2 linked regions of the Pelodiscus sinensis genome follow. The protein of the gene in region 1 interacts with the protein of each later gene in a pairwise test. Links are inferred from orthologs where the notes say so. Each region holds a gene or a part of one and is shown on either strand. Other genes may lie near its edges.

The links.
Region 2: the proteins of ERG28 (region 1) and aquaporin-2 interact in binary tests that used the Homo sapiens proteins (3 or more experiments, as listed by UniProt). The link is inferred for Pelodiscus sinensis from reciprocal best matches to the Homo sapiens genes ERG28 and AQP2.

What each region holds. Positions count from the first base shown.
Region 1 is NC_134714.1:43,679,259-43,686,518, reverse strand, and holds the start of ERG28 (ergosterol biosynthetic protein 28 homolog), read right to left. Parts: upstream 3,017-7,260; 5' UTR 2,911-3,016; exon of another isoform or gene 2,521-2,910; intron 2,284-2,520; exon of another isoform or gene 2,149-2,283; intron 2,003-2,148; exon of another isoform or gene 2,000-2,002; 5' UTR 1,987-1,999; coding exon 1,851-1,986; intron 796-1,850; coding exon 705-795; intron 1-704. Other genes in the region: tubulin polyglutamylase TTLL5, read left to right, coding at 4,345-4,421.
Region 2 is NC_134729.1:1,739,821-1,747,213, reverse strand, and holds the start of aquaporin-2, read right to left. Parts: upstream 3,007-7,393; 5' UTR 2,916-3,006; coding exon 2,556-2,915; intron 1-2,555. UniProt on the Homo sapiens protein: Forms a water-specific channel that provides the plasma membranes of renal collecting duct with high permeability to water, thereby permitting water to move in the direction of an osmotic gradient. Plays an essential role in renal water homeostasis.

The DNA of each region.
Region 1 (7,260 bases):
GAAACCCCAGGGCTGAGGGTTCCAGAATGAGGATCAGAAACAGGATTAAAAGGCTGTGTCAGCTCTGCTAATTATCAGCTTGATCTAAGAACTAGGTTCAAGTGAGCAACTCCTCTTTCTAGGATTCAGGGGGTAGTAATTAAACTTTTTACTCCAAGAGCTGCTCAGTAAGGGTACATCTACACAGCACTGTTATTTCTGAATAATTGATGTTATATCAAAATAACAAAGTGCGCATCTACACATAAGCAATTATTTTGACAATGTTGAATTAATGTCTAGTTGGAAGACTTCTTACTCCGACTCCTCTAAGGCTCATTTTACGAGGATTAAGGGAAGTCAGAGGAAGAGTGATCTATTTCAAAATAAGTGCTGTGTACATGCGCCCAAATTCAAAATAAGCTCTTTCGACTTAAACTATGCAATTAGCGTAGCTCAAGTTGCATATCTTATTTCGAGTTTAGCCCTGTTGTGTAGACATACCCTTAGAGACCAGTGATTAATCCACCATATGGGGCTACCTGTTATGATATTTCAAGGGAAGACTGTCTACCCCTACATCAAGAGGAACTCAAGGGGATTTCAAGAAGCAGCTATTGATAATGGCCAGAACTGCCCCATAAGAGGACTTAAGAGTAATAGCAGTGATAAGTGTACACTATGGGGAAAAAGGGACACCCTTCTCTGGCATTTCCCTTACATACGTCTTGTTGCGAATGTCAATAGCACAGGAGCAGCGAATCACTGACGACAGTAGAGTCCAGATGCCAAAAGTCCGAGCTTGGAGACCATTCACTGTGCAGAGAAGAAACAAATGAGGTAAATGAATGCTCCATCCCATGAGCTACCATCTCTACAGGCTCGACCAAGTGGTTGAGCGAAGGAAGAACATAAAATCTACTTCCAGGTAGAGAGTTACACCATATCAAGATTTCCTAGATGATTCAAGGGCAGATAAGTGTGTACGAAAATAGCTGCTAGGAATCGTGCTCCCCTTTCCAGTAACCACAGACCCTCAAGGGAGAAAAAGAACCAAGGCTGGTTCCAGTGCTTCACTAAATCAGAAGCATTGCTATGGATGCTGAATAGCACAGTAGAAGACAGTACAGTGTAGGGATGTTAGCTTTAGATTAACTGGCTAATTGAATTGTCGATGCAAATTGCATCGATGATTCGATTAGTTGATAAGGGAGCCTCCACCTTTGAAGTGTAGCAAAGCCCCAGGGAAAAGCGTTGCAGGGAGAAAGCGTTGCAGGGAGCACGGGGCCAGCGGGGGACTCAAAGCAGTCCCCCACTGGTCCCATGCTTCACACGTTTCAAAGTGGCAGTGCTGCACGGAGCCCAACCCTGGGCTCCATGCAGCAGTGCCGCTTTGAAATGCTGTGTGCAGCCCAGGCCAACTGGGGACTCCCCAGCTGGCATCTGACTGCATGCATTTCAAAGAGGCAGCGCCGCATGGAGCCCAGGGTCTGGTCCCGGGCTCCACGTGGCGCTGCCGCTTTGAAGCATCCCATCCTCTTTCCTCCACCTTGCTGCCTCTTTCTGATAGAGGCAGCAAGGGTGGGAGGAAGCAACTAGTCAACTAGTGTATTAACTAGTCGTTCACATCCTTAGTATAGCGGAGACAGGCAGGCGTGCTCCAGAGAAAACGAAGGTTGACTGCTGAAGAGGGTTGCCCTGGTGCGTTTGGGCTAGCATGTGGAATACAGGAAGTTAAGATTTGCACTGTGGCTCACTTCTGAGATGTGGACAAAAGTTCTTCAGGACTTGGGGCAATATGCTGATAAATGAGGAATAGCTACTATTGTAATGACTCTTGATGGGCAGGATGGGCAACTTGGGCTCCTTACCAAGGCTAGGTGTGCCTGTATACAGCTTCTCAGAGAGAAAACTGTGGTCACGAAAACTCTGCAATGTGTTCCCCATTGCGATGATGGACACCATGACTAGCCAGCTGCGCAACACGTTCAGAAAACGGCTCATCATGCTCTGGTACCTGCTTCTGGGGACAAAAGCAGGAGATCATCACAAAAGGAAACCACACGGATTCTACTCCCTAGAACTTTTCCACTTAAGCCAGGAACCCGGCTTTTCCACAGAAAGTCCCTTTCTCTTTCCATAAGTCCCCAGAGAGCAAGCAGTCCTCACCAGATAAAGCTTGCACTACACCCCTGATAATGCAAGAGTAGAAATCTGTATGTCCAGCAGCCTGGAACAACATGATGCTGCTGCCCCATCGTAGGGAGTTACTAATCTTCAGGGTCCTGGGCAGAACATGACGAAGTAGAAATCTTTGGTGCATCCTCTCCACCTTTCTCTCTCCCCCGATTGGAGACAACAGCTTACCACATCACTCACGTCTGCAAGACCGATCGTGTATCTAGCTCCCTGCATGGCAAAGCTGGGCACTGACACCCAAGTTAATGCAACCTACTTGTTAATGCCAGTGGAGAGATTTACACTCCCTGCCCCGCTGTCCCGGGGCTGAAGTCCACTCCGTTTCCTCCGGTCCCACCCCCTCCGTGCCCCACATCTCCCGCACAAGTCCCCCAACCCGTCTTCGCGCCGATTCCCTCCCGCCCTCGACTGACATCACCATTTTATCGCCCTTCCCCAACAGAGAACATTTTATCGCCCTTCCCCGAGCCCCTCCAGCCTTCCCACTATCTTCCCTGAGCCCTGCACCGCATCCTCCGACCAGTCCTCACCCCGCTGCACATCTGCTCCCAGCCCTTCAGCTCCAGCCGCTCCCCTGTGCCCACCCGCTATGCAGCAGCAGCCCCACCCCTTACTGGTTTGCGTACTGGTTGGTTCCATGTTAGCCCTGTCCCTACTTAGATTGGCTGTTAGACCCATCACTACTCACACGCCATATAGATTGATAGGTCACTACACGAGTCTCTATATTACCATAAGGCGCCTCCGCTCCTGAGGCGCGGTGACGTAAAAATGGGCCTTGTGCGTGCTTTTGGGGGGAGGCGGAAGTTGCAAGTGGCGCGGGCAAGGCGTGCAGCGCGGTGTTTGCGCCTGCGTGTTAGGAGGAGGGGATGCCTCTGGCGCCTGCGCAGAAGGGAATTGGAGGCGGTTGCCTGCCTGTTGGTTGTTGTAGTAACGGGGAAGCGTCGGGAGGAGGGAGCAGTGGCCGGTGGGGCTGCGTTGCCCGGAGCCCATCCCATGCCCCCAGGAAGGTGAGGCTGTAGGCAGGGGGAAGGCGGGAGCGCATGGCGCGGCCCCAGGGGCTGCCAGCTACGGCGGGGGAAGCTGCGGGTGCCGCCCGCCAGCGCGGCGGGAACGTGGCGTCCCGGGCTCGCTAGCCCCGAGGCGGCCGCGTTCGGCGGGGCCTGTGGCTTGCGGCTGTGGGGCCAGGTGTCTCCCTGGAGCCCGGCCCGGCCCCCCAGTAGGAGCGGACGGCGCGGGGTGGGGCGCTGCCGTGGGAAGCAGCCCCCCTGCCCCGAGGCGTCACGGGGGTGCTGGGCCCTCCGCAGGTCCCTTCTGGCTGCGCTAGTAGAGCGAGTCGGAGGCTCCTGCGTGGGCAACGACCAGAGGGCCTGGGTCGGCGCCAGACCGTGTGGCGGTGAAACCTGAAGAGATCATCGGAGCCTCCTGTCTGACCCCCGTGTGGAGCACCATCGCGTGTGTTTGACTAAAGCATAGCCCTATTAGGAAAGCCTTTGAGGAAGAAATGCAGAAGCAGGCAGACCTTTTCCAGCTAGCCTCTGAGTCCCGTGCACAGGAAAGTAACTTTCTTTTCTGGGAAGCTGATCAGAAATCTATCCTGGGACTCCCTGCACAGGAGCAGTTTAGACCGAGAGGGGTCTCGCAGGAGATTGTTCATAAGGGCTGAGGGCCCCAAAGAAGTATCACTGTGAGTGAAAAGTTACTTAACTAGACAGGGCACTGTATCAAAGAGGGGTAGCCATGTTAGTCTGAATCTGCAAAAGCGAGGAAAGCTTATGCTCCAATAAATCTGTTAGTCTGTAAGGTGCCACAGGACTCCTTGTTGCTGTGTAGTTAAGTGTCTTGGACTAGTGATGGTTCAGAGGAAAGTACAAAAGCTGACTGTTATGGAAGTTTTTTCCTGGTCCAAATAGTTTAGTTTATACCCTGTAGTAGCAGGATAAATGTCCCATGTAGATTTGTGTACTGTACTGGAAACAGTTGAGGTAGTGCTGTGGCCTCCTCTCTTTATGCTGAGTTGGCATATGTCTCTAGGCTATTCTGCACAGTAATATACTCATATTCCTGATGTTTATTACAGGAAGCTGCATTGGCTAGATCCACTGATCCTCTGTGAAAGGGACTAAGAACCACAGTGACTGGACTGCATGAAAATTCCTATATGAGATGCCAGTTGGGATGGCTCGAGACTTGGAGGAAACTGGCTCATCCACAGAGGAGGAAGAAGTGGAAGAAGAGCCAGAGTAAGTAAAAACATATACAATGCCTGAATAGTAGCTGTGCTTCACCTGGGATGTATGGGGTCTTTAGAGGATATTTACTAATCTGGTATGACCATTTCATTCCTCACCTGTAATCCTTCAGGTCTGTTTGCTGAGGAAGGAAATAGATGGGGTGGGTTTGGGGCTTTTAATCATAAACAAGTATGTTGGTAGGTACAGAAATCTTTGCTTTGAGGAGTCTAAAAGAACCCCACTTTCCTTCAGAGAGGGAGCCTCTGGGATTAGGGCTGATAGGAAGAGGGTGAGGCCTCATCTGCTGATTTTTCTCACTCTCCTCACTTCCTGGTGTCTTCCTTATTATTACTACATTCTTTCACAACTCCCTGACATCCCTTTTTCAGCTAGGGTGGATTCTCTTGAGTACCATCCAGGGAAATGTGTAGCTCCTAGTTCTACTGTCTGCATTTGTTTCCATTTTTGCATATAGAAACATAAGGTATTGCAGAGCAGCCTGCTATCATGTAGGTCATTTGGACTCTCTTATCCCTCATGTTCTATTTAAGGTTAATAGGAGATATGTTAGTCCACTCATCTAGGAGTTCCTGTCAGTCCTATCTCCCTGCTTTGTGTGGCACCTCCTTCCATCTCTATTGCTCTAGTGTCCATTTCCAGAATGGTGTCCTACTCCTGCATTAGCAAAGTCTGCTTTAACAAGCTAGGTTTTTCTGTTTCTCAAAGACGACTCTCAGCATAGTTTACCATGAAAAGGGCCCCTACTTAATGCTCCCAATAAAACTGAGTTGTCCACGTGTTCTCAGACATCCCAGGGAAGGGATAGGAGGGCCTGGGTTGGCGTCATTCAGTCAGATGGCAGTTTGGTACTGTGTCTGCATCAAGTAACCAACGTCATGCTAGGGATGAATCTGGACAGTTGCTTGGAGGATAGTATGAGTCCTGGTGGCCTCAGTGCAAATCCTCAGAGCAGAGCTTAACCTAAAGCCCCTTTTCTGCTGTCTCGGCTCTGTTCCCACTTACGTAAGTAAGGTGCTAGCTTGTGCTAAGACTTGATGCTGCTGTACACTGGCAATGGGTGAGCAACTGAATTCATCTAAGGGTGTGTGGGAGGATTCTGGGGCCAGATAAAGAGCTCAGGCCTGAGTGGTCTGGTCTGAGGAGGGGGGAAGAAGAAAGATTGGGCTTGCCTTTATTTAGGGATAGTAAATATTTGTTGAATGTTCACATTTGATCTGATGCACTGGATGGTCCACAGGGAAAAATGATCTCTGCTATCCAATGTGGAGAGTAGACCTACTTACATTTACTTCTTTATCTCAGCCTTGAGAAGGTGCCCACACAGGAATCTTCTTTGTGCACCTCTGTCTAGAAATGTGGGGAAGTGGGTATACAGATATTTATCTCTGCATTAGGGATGTAATGGTGTAGTAAATTAACCAATAAGCAAAAGCGTATAGGTTAATGCTATACACTATACGCATTTCCCCCTGCCAGTATATTTTATAGCAGGCTGGCCAGCAGCCCGGCTCAGTCCTGGCTCATGCCATGTCTGGGACCGACCCCTGCTACAACTCTGCATTTAAAGTGTATTAGGAGCCAGCTGGCTCAGTTCTGGCTCGTGCTGTGTCCGGGAGCTCAGCCCTCCTCTCTGCGCTCCCCCCCACCCCCCGCACCCCTGGACAGAGTATGACGCAGTAGTGTGGGGTGGTGGCAGGCAGCCAGTCTGAGGGGAGAGCTATTTTTTTAACTGGCTCCCCTCATGGACCAGCTCCCGCCAGGCACCCCGTGCTGCTGCCTCATGGAATGGCAGGGGGCTCCTCGGGAGCGGAGTTGAAGTGCACTGGCTGCCGGCCCCACCCCTGGGGACCATAGAATAGTTGAGTAACCAATAAGAATTCATGAGGTTAACTGACTAATCCGTTAACCAATATTTAACAAATATGCAATGGTACAGATAAGCATGTTACTGAATGACTTTTTAAAGTACTTATCACTAGTGTGAAGTGCTAGCCAATTTTAATACTGGGTTGATAGGCAGTTGAAGGAGGGACCGTTGAACCCAGAAATCGGATTCAAAGACTGAAAAATCAGGGATGGGGCAACATGTACAGGTCACAGGGATCTGGCTGATGCACAAGCAGAGAATTGTGTATAATGCCCTCTGCTCCAAGAAGTTGCCCCGGTGACTGAATCTTTTGTGTGTCACCCATAGTTTGCCTTCCCTTGCCCAGGAGAGAATCAGATTGCCTGGTTCTTTCAATTATTGGCCTTTCTCCTGAGATTGTGAAGTTGGAGAGGAGCAGTTGTGCTGGTGGCTTTGTGATGCGGACACCTGTTCAGTGGGAATTGCATTTGAAGCCATTGATTTATTTTATATTGGCTGAACCAATGTTCTGTTGAGGTTAGACACAAACTTTTGAGCTTACACAGTGCTCTGCCTCATGTCAGACCTGAAGAAGATGTGTGTAAGTTCAAAAGCATATCTTTCTTCAATAGAAGTCTGTCCAATAAAAGATACTACCTCACTCATCTTTTAATATCCTGTAACCAACACAGCTACAGTAACACTTCATATTGGCCGAACAGATCTTTGGAGCCCACTATCAATGTATGTACGATTTAAATCAAGAATTGAAGGTGAGAGGCTCTGTATCCTATCCCTATTTGTGGAGTCATCTCGTACTCTGGAATGAGTTTGATGGTGACCAAGGGTAGACACTTCCAGGGGTAAGGCTTCATTAGGAAGTTTAAATATTTCTCCTTGACACACAACCTGTGGATGCAGGCTTAGCAAACTAACCAATATCTGCTGCAGCTTTCTCAGCTCATACCCTGGTCTTCAGCC
Region 2 (7,393 bases), on another chromosome or scaffold:
AGTCTCCTGGTTCTCCCTGGGCGCTAGTCCAATCCTGTGCCTCTTTTTAAGGCGATCCTGCCACTTTACATCCAGCTGTCTGGTAGTTGTGAGGTGACCCAGGAAGGACGCTCACAAGACCCACAAAATTCATGTCACTCGTGACCTGCGGCCGTGTCGGTTTTGCAATATACAGGGTGACCCGTAGCTAACCCACGTTCCCTTAAGCTAATCTCCAGGGCGGTACCCCTGGAGGTTGCGTGTTAACTGACCAATTTGTAGTGCTGCCAGTCCTGGCTGAGATCTTATCTCTGGGCCAGCGACACTGCCGGAGCCCGACACATGCTCTGCTACACACTGAAATCTTGATGTTTTATCCAGAACCAGAAAGTCCACCTGCAGGTTTTCCCCCCTTGCTGTGTGGCCTCTTTGCCTCCCAGGAAGGTTAAGGGCTAGATCAGGGGTGGGGAACCTATTTTGAGCCTGGGGGGCTGCTGACCCACAGAAAAATCAGTTGGGGGCTGCATGTGTGAGAAAAAAAACCCTCACTGGTGTGGCCCTTGACGGGGAAGCAGAAAGACACGCCCCACATTCCCTTCGCACACCAGATTGTCAGGGCCCTGGGGTAGGGCTAAAAACGAGGGGTTCAGTGTATGGGAGGGGGCTGCCGGGAAGCAGGTTTGGGACACAGCTCCCCAGGGATGCACACGGTTCCGGGTCCCCCGCCGCTCCCAAGCACCGCCCCCTGCTGTTCCTATTGTCCAGGATGAGGGCCAATCAGAGCCCTGCAAGGAGGGGCGGGGCTGGAGCACCAGCCTGGGCTCCCCGACACCATCCAGTGGCTGGGTGCTGATCTGCAGTCCACTGGTGTAAACCCAGGGATTGCGGAACTCTGGATTGCCACGGGTGTGGCTGCAGCTTGGTCTAGACACAGATTACGTCTACACTGCAGATCACAGCCGTAGCTGACCTGCCTTGAACTTGGGAACGAGAACCCCATTCGCAGCAACGTGGTAGTCCAGTGGCCATCCAGGGCTTAGCGAGGTTTTCTCTGACTTCTCCCTTACTTCCTATGGAGCCAGTTCTCCCCCCTCCCCTCCGCTCTCCGCTGTTGCAGTTAAACCAAGAAGCACGTTTCCGGCTGCCCGGGGCCCCGCGAAAGTCGCCTGATTTTTGTCACCCCACGCAGACCCTTTACCAACCTGGAGCTAGCGCTATCCAAGCGACGGAGGTTTGACTCCAGCGCCATCCTGTCGGGGAAGGAATCTCGTTTCACGTGTGGTATCCCAGCCTACTGTATCCCTTCTTCCTACAGGCCGCTCGAGGTGACCCCCCCTCCAGCCAGAGCCCCCTCCTACACCCCAAAGATCCTCTCCTCTGCCCCACACGCCAGTCTCATTTTGTTGGGTCGCGGCATCCACCAATTTCTTCAGCAAGGTCATAGAATCATAGAACCATAGAGCTGGAAGAGACCTTAGAAGGTCATCAAGTCCAGCCCCCTGCCCTAGGGTCGTGAGAAAACACGTCCGATCTCCCTGCAGTGGAGCGTTAACCAGCCTCCTCTGATGCCGTCGTGTTAAAAAAACAACTGTCGTGCCAGCTTTCATGCCACCAGCATCCAGGAAATACCAGCGGGAAGGAAGACCCCCGCCCCATATGCCAGATTCACTAGACACAGGGGCATTGCATCGGTGGTGTAATACACTTCCCGAGAAGGGTTCTCCCGGCTGTGCTAGGAACTCCAACCCGCTCTCATGCCCGCTTGGCTGTGTATTGCCTGCCGCTTGTTGGCTGCTCTCCTGAGCAGCACCGGGGACTGTATGGAGCAGGGACAATTGGGCGCGAAGACATCCCAGGTGTATCCCCACCGCTAGAAGGAAGCACGATCTAGCCGTTGGAACGCCGTACCGCCTGTCGGGGCACCTGGATTCATTCCCAGCAGGAGGGAGTTGGGTTAGAACAAGGGTGTCTGGCAGCCAGAACTGCTGGGTTTTAGTTCCGCAACTAGAAGGCAGTATGGCCTAGAGGTTGGAACATGGCGCTGGGTGTCAGGACACCTGGGGTCATTAGGACCAGAGAAGAGCAACAAAGATGACGGAGGGTCTGGAAAACATGATGGATGAGGGAAGGCTGAAGGAATTGGATTTGTTTGGTTCAGAAAAGAGAAGATGGAGAGGGGACATGCTAGCGGTTTTCAAGTATCTAAAAGGGTGTTACAAGGGGGAGGGAGAAAAATTGTTCTCCTTGGCCTCTGAGGACAGGACAAGCAGCAATGGGCTTAAATTGCAGCAAGGAAGGTTTAGGTTGGACATTAGAAAAAGCTTCCTACCTGTTGGGGCAGTTAAACACTGGAATAAGTTGCCCAGGGAGGTTGTGGAATCCCCATCGCTGGAGATATCTAAGAGCAGGTTGGACAGACACTTGCTACTACTAGAAGGCAGTGTGGTCTAGTAGTTGGAACATGGCTTTGGGTAGCAGGACACCTGGGTTCTATTCCCAGCCTCGCGTCACTTTGCCTCAGTTTCCCTAATCACCCACCACTCCTGTTCATCCCCCCGTGTGGGTGGCCTCCTTACCCTGTTGATGGCCAGCTGTCCCCGGAGGCTCGGCGGGGTGAGTTCGTGCAGGAGCGCCGCCCCGGCGACCGCCCCCAGGAGCTGCGCCGCCACGTAGAAGACGGCCCTGAGGAAGGAGAGGTGGGAGCCCAGCAGGCACGCCACCGTCACGGCCGGGTTGAGGTGGGCCCCGCTGACGTGCCCCACGGCCTGCACCAGCGTGGCGACGGCCAGGCCGAAAGCCAGCGAGACCTGCAGGGCGTCCGGGGGGGCCGGCGGCCAGCTGAGGGCAGAGCCGAGGCCGAAGAAGATGAAGAGCAGCGTGGCCAGGAACTCTGCGAAGACAGCCCGGGCGAAGGCTGCAGAGCGGAGCTCCCACATCCTGGGGCGCGCTGGGAATGCCCCTAAGCGCTGCCGTGTGCGGCTCCCTGCAGGGTGCGGGGTGCGATCACGCTCCCTGTGTGTATATATAGGCAGAACATCTGCAGACGGAGGAGGGGCAGGGGCTTTGGAAACCTGATCCATTGCTCCCTCCAGTTCCAGCCGCGGCTGGCTTCAGACCCTGCCCCGACTGTTCACCCGCGACCGTGGCATTTGCCAATTTCAGGCGCTCCTGCACTCGCTGGGCAGCGTTGCCCTCGGCCCCACCCTCCCCCGGTGCCGTTCCTCTCTCCTCTTCGCCCCCACCGGCCTTTTCCGCAGGGAGGGGAGAAAACGGACGTGGCAGCATTTGGGGGGACGAGACGAGCCAGGCTGGGCAGGAGAGGTGTGGTGTCCCTGGCCTCTGTTTGTCCCAGGCTGGGAATGGGCGACGGGAGGGAAAGGAAAGACACGTAGTGAGGTGGCTGGGTCTGCGTCGGGATGGAGAGCGACACAGCGAGATGGAGGGAGGATCAGACCTGGCTCCAAACTCCAGAGTCTGCAGATGTTTCGCTTTCACGCTGGGCCATCCTGTTCAGAACCACGTCTAGATAAACACTTCAGACCAGCCAGACGGGGTCAGACCAAAGGTCCCTCCAGCCCAGCGTCCTGTCTGCCCACCGTGGCCAATGCCAGGTGCCCCAGAGGGAGGGAACAGAACCGGGAATCCTCATGTGATCCCTCCCCTGTCACCCATTCCCAGCCTCTGACAAACAGCCATCGATGGACCTATCCTCCATGAATCTATCTCACACTTTTTTGCACCTTGTTAAAGTTGCTCTTCACCACATCCTCTGGCGAGGAGTTCCACAGGTTGACGGTGTGCTACATGAAGAAAAACTTTGGTTTGTTTTAAGCTGCCTATTCATTTCATTGGGTGAGCCCTAGTTCTTATGGGAACAAGCAAATCACTTTTCCTTATTCGCTTTCTCCATAGCTGTCATGATCTTACAGACCCCCTTAGTCTCTGCTTTTCGACGCTGAACAGTCCCGGTCTTTTTAATCTCTCCTCATGCCTGGGCACAGCTGTGCCGGTGGGAGGCCAGGAGTGGAGCAGCGGGTTTGCGTGGGGGAGACGCATGGGTCAGGATCACACTGGCTCGGTTCCGTGTGTGGGAGCACGCGTGTGGGGGAGCCCTGTGTTCCGTGTGTGGGAGCACACAGCCCTGAGGACTGCGGGTCAGGCTTGTGGTGCACTGACGGTGGGGTGCAATAGCTCAAGTTCGTGTGATGGAGCCAGGGGAGCTGGCGCCAATAGTGGAGTGGAGGGCAGACATGCTGGGAGCTGGGTGAACGGCTTTCTAGTTCCGTGAATAAACTGCCAGAGACTGTGGCCATGTAATCAAGGCAGGCAGGCACCTGAGGTTAGTGGAGCAGCAGGCTGATCAGGCACCTGCAGCTGGTTGAGGCCTGTGGAGTTTCCTGGAAAGGTTTCCCCCAGGCGAGGGGGAAGGAGAAGAGGGAAGGACTGAGAGGAGGAAGCGCCTTGCTGGAGAGCCAGGGACTGCGAAAAGGATGGAGTGTTTGTGCTGAAGCAGGAAAGATTCGCTAGGTCCCAGGGAGAAGGTACTTTGGGCACGTGGGCTGCTGTCTTGGGGCTCGAGGAAAAACTCTGTTAGTGGCCGCTGCCTAGGGTCCCTGGGCGGGAACCGGAGTAGTGGGCAGGTCCGGTTCCCCCCAAGCCACTAAGAAAAGTCTGTTCCTGGAAAGGAAGGCCAGGGTTACGGGAGGGGGGAAGAGTTCCCCCAATCCTTTGACTTTGCCAGTGATGAGCTTGGCTCAGTAAGTTATAACCCTGGCCTCTAGAAGCCATAAGAGGCAGGCTGGTGGAGGTGACCGCGAGCCTCTGAGGCAAACAATAAGGGCATGTCCACACTTGCAGCCTAACTCGAACTAGGGCTGCAAATGTAGGCATGCGGAATTGCAAATCAAGCCCGGGATTTAAATATCCCGCCCTTGCTTTGCATCTTCCCGGCCGAGTGCCATTTTTGAAATGTACAAGCCCGAAGTAACTGCCCGCGTCTACATGCGGCAGTGAAACGGGCGTTCGAAATAAAGCCCTAATTCGAACTGCCAGTTAAACCTCATTGCAGGAGGAACCTCATTGCAGGAAGCAGTTACTTTGGGCTTGTAAATTTCAAAAAACGGCGCCCAGATGGGAAGATGCAAATCCGTCGTGGGATATTTAAATCCCGGACTTGATTTGCAATTCTGAATGCCTACTTTTGCAGCCCTAGTTCGAATTAGGCTGCAAGTGTAGACATACCCTAACCCCCTAGAAGCTCAGGGCCCTGGTTGCAATAGGGCAGGGCCTCTGGGTGGGGACTGAGATGTGTGGGCTACACTCGTCCTTTGAAGCTGCTTCCGTCGAACCAGAAAGACGTTGGAGAAGAAGGAGCAACTATGGTCCTAGACCTGCCATTGGTGACCATCTCGAGGCGTGTTCATACAGAGACGAGCAGACCTACCCAGTATTGCTCGGGGCCTTAATGAAGGTTCGTTGGTTGGTTTGTTTAATGTGAATGCTTTGTTGGAATGATTGTGTTTTTCCTAACTACAGTATTATTCTGATGAAGTTAATTATTATTTCAGACGTCTTTAGAAGGGGATTGTGAAAAGGTGCCCATTTAATTTATTGATTTTTAAAATGGGAATTCCATCAAGTACATTTTTTCCCTCATCCCTATAAAGTCCCATCCTGTGCCCCACTACAGGACACGCCCCACCCCACTTCTGCTCCACCCGCCCCTCTTCCCCCAAGCCCCACTCCGGCTGTGTTCCTTCCCTCCCCTGCTCTGCCCCCGTCCCATGGGATGCAAGCTGGAGGATTACCAGAAGTCGGGTGGCTGTAGGGGGTCACCCCACCCCCCAACTCACCCTGGCAATGGGAGCCGGAGCAGCCCCAGAGCCTGCCCCACCCTGCCGCCCTCCCAGCCCACTGGGTGCCTGACTCCAGCTTCTAGTGGGTCACCCTCTGCTCCTTTATATATTATTATATCTACTCTATATTTGCGAGACTTGGTCTGTGTGTCTGTCTGTCAACTGTACGAGGTAGGACCACCAATTTCGGCAGCATCATAACTTACAGCCAGGGCAGTGGCTGCTTGCGCCCGGACAATGGGATGTGCCTGGAATGGGATTGGCTTCCGTCCACTCCCCACAAATCGACGTAACTGAGCGAATGGTGAAGGAGGCTGGAAGACGATGTGATTGGAAACCACGATAACGATCGCCCATTTGTCATTAGAACCTAGCGAAGGACGACGTGGAGCCCCCAGCGCTGGAGCTATCTGAGAGCAGGTTGGATAGACACCTGTCAGGGACAATCTAGACCACGAGTTCCCAAACGGGGGGGGGGGCGTGCCCCTCGGGGGAGGGGCATGAAGAAATTCCAGGAGGCGCATGAGGCAACCCAGCCCCCCATCAATCTCCCCCTCTCCCCAAGTTTTGCTGCTATTTTTGTTTCTCGTCCCTCGTCAGTTCCTTTTTTCCCCCCTCAACAAGTTTTGCTGCTTTTTTTGCGGGGGGGAGGCATGAGGGTGTCTCAAAAATCCAAAAGGGGGCATGATACCGAAAAGTTTGGGAACCACTGGTCTAGACCATGCTTGGTCCTGCCGTGAGGACAGGGGACTGGACTTGATGACTCTTAAGGCCCCTTCAGTCCCAGTATTCAATGATTCAAGGTGTTTGTGCTGTGGATGAATCCGTATGGCTGGCAGAATACATGGCTCCAGATGCAATGGATCTAGACCATGGGTTCCCAAACGGGGGGGGCGTGCCTCCGGGTGGGAATGTGAAGAAATTCCAGGGGGGGCATGAGGTGACCCAGCCCTGCCCCCTCAATCAGGTTTTGCTGCCCTGTTCAGTTCCTTTTTTCCATTTTTTTTTTTGCTCAACGAGTTTTGCTGCTATTTGGGGGGGGGGGGGCGTGAGGATTTTTCAAAAATCAAAAAGCAGGGTGTGATGCCAAAAAGTTTGGGAACCGCTGCTCTAGACAGTCTTCTGGCCTCAGAGCTGGGAGGTGAGATAATGTAGGAACCAAACCAAACTCTCTTGAAAGTTTAGGAATCTATGGGCAGGCAGTGACTCTCACTTTCCTAATTTAACTCGAGAAGGGAGTAGACCGTCTTTTAAGCTTGAAGCTGTGTGTCCAGGACTTCCAGGTCCCATTCCCCGCATTGCGAGTCACGGTGTTCCATGCGTTATTAAGGACACGATGTCGCAACTTTCATCAATAAAACTTTAGGATGGCAGGTCGGTCTCATTGCTCGCCTTTTATAGATGGGGAAATTGAGGCACAGGCTTTCCCAAGATCAAGCCATGAGTCAGTGGACATGTCAGGAGTTGACACCAGGTTGCAAACCTCCCAGTTCAGTACACTGCCCCGCTGTACCATGCTGCCTGCCTCATGCTGGCCAGCTGGGTAATATGAAAACCTT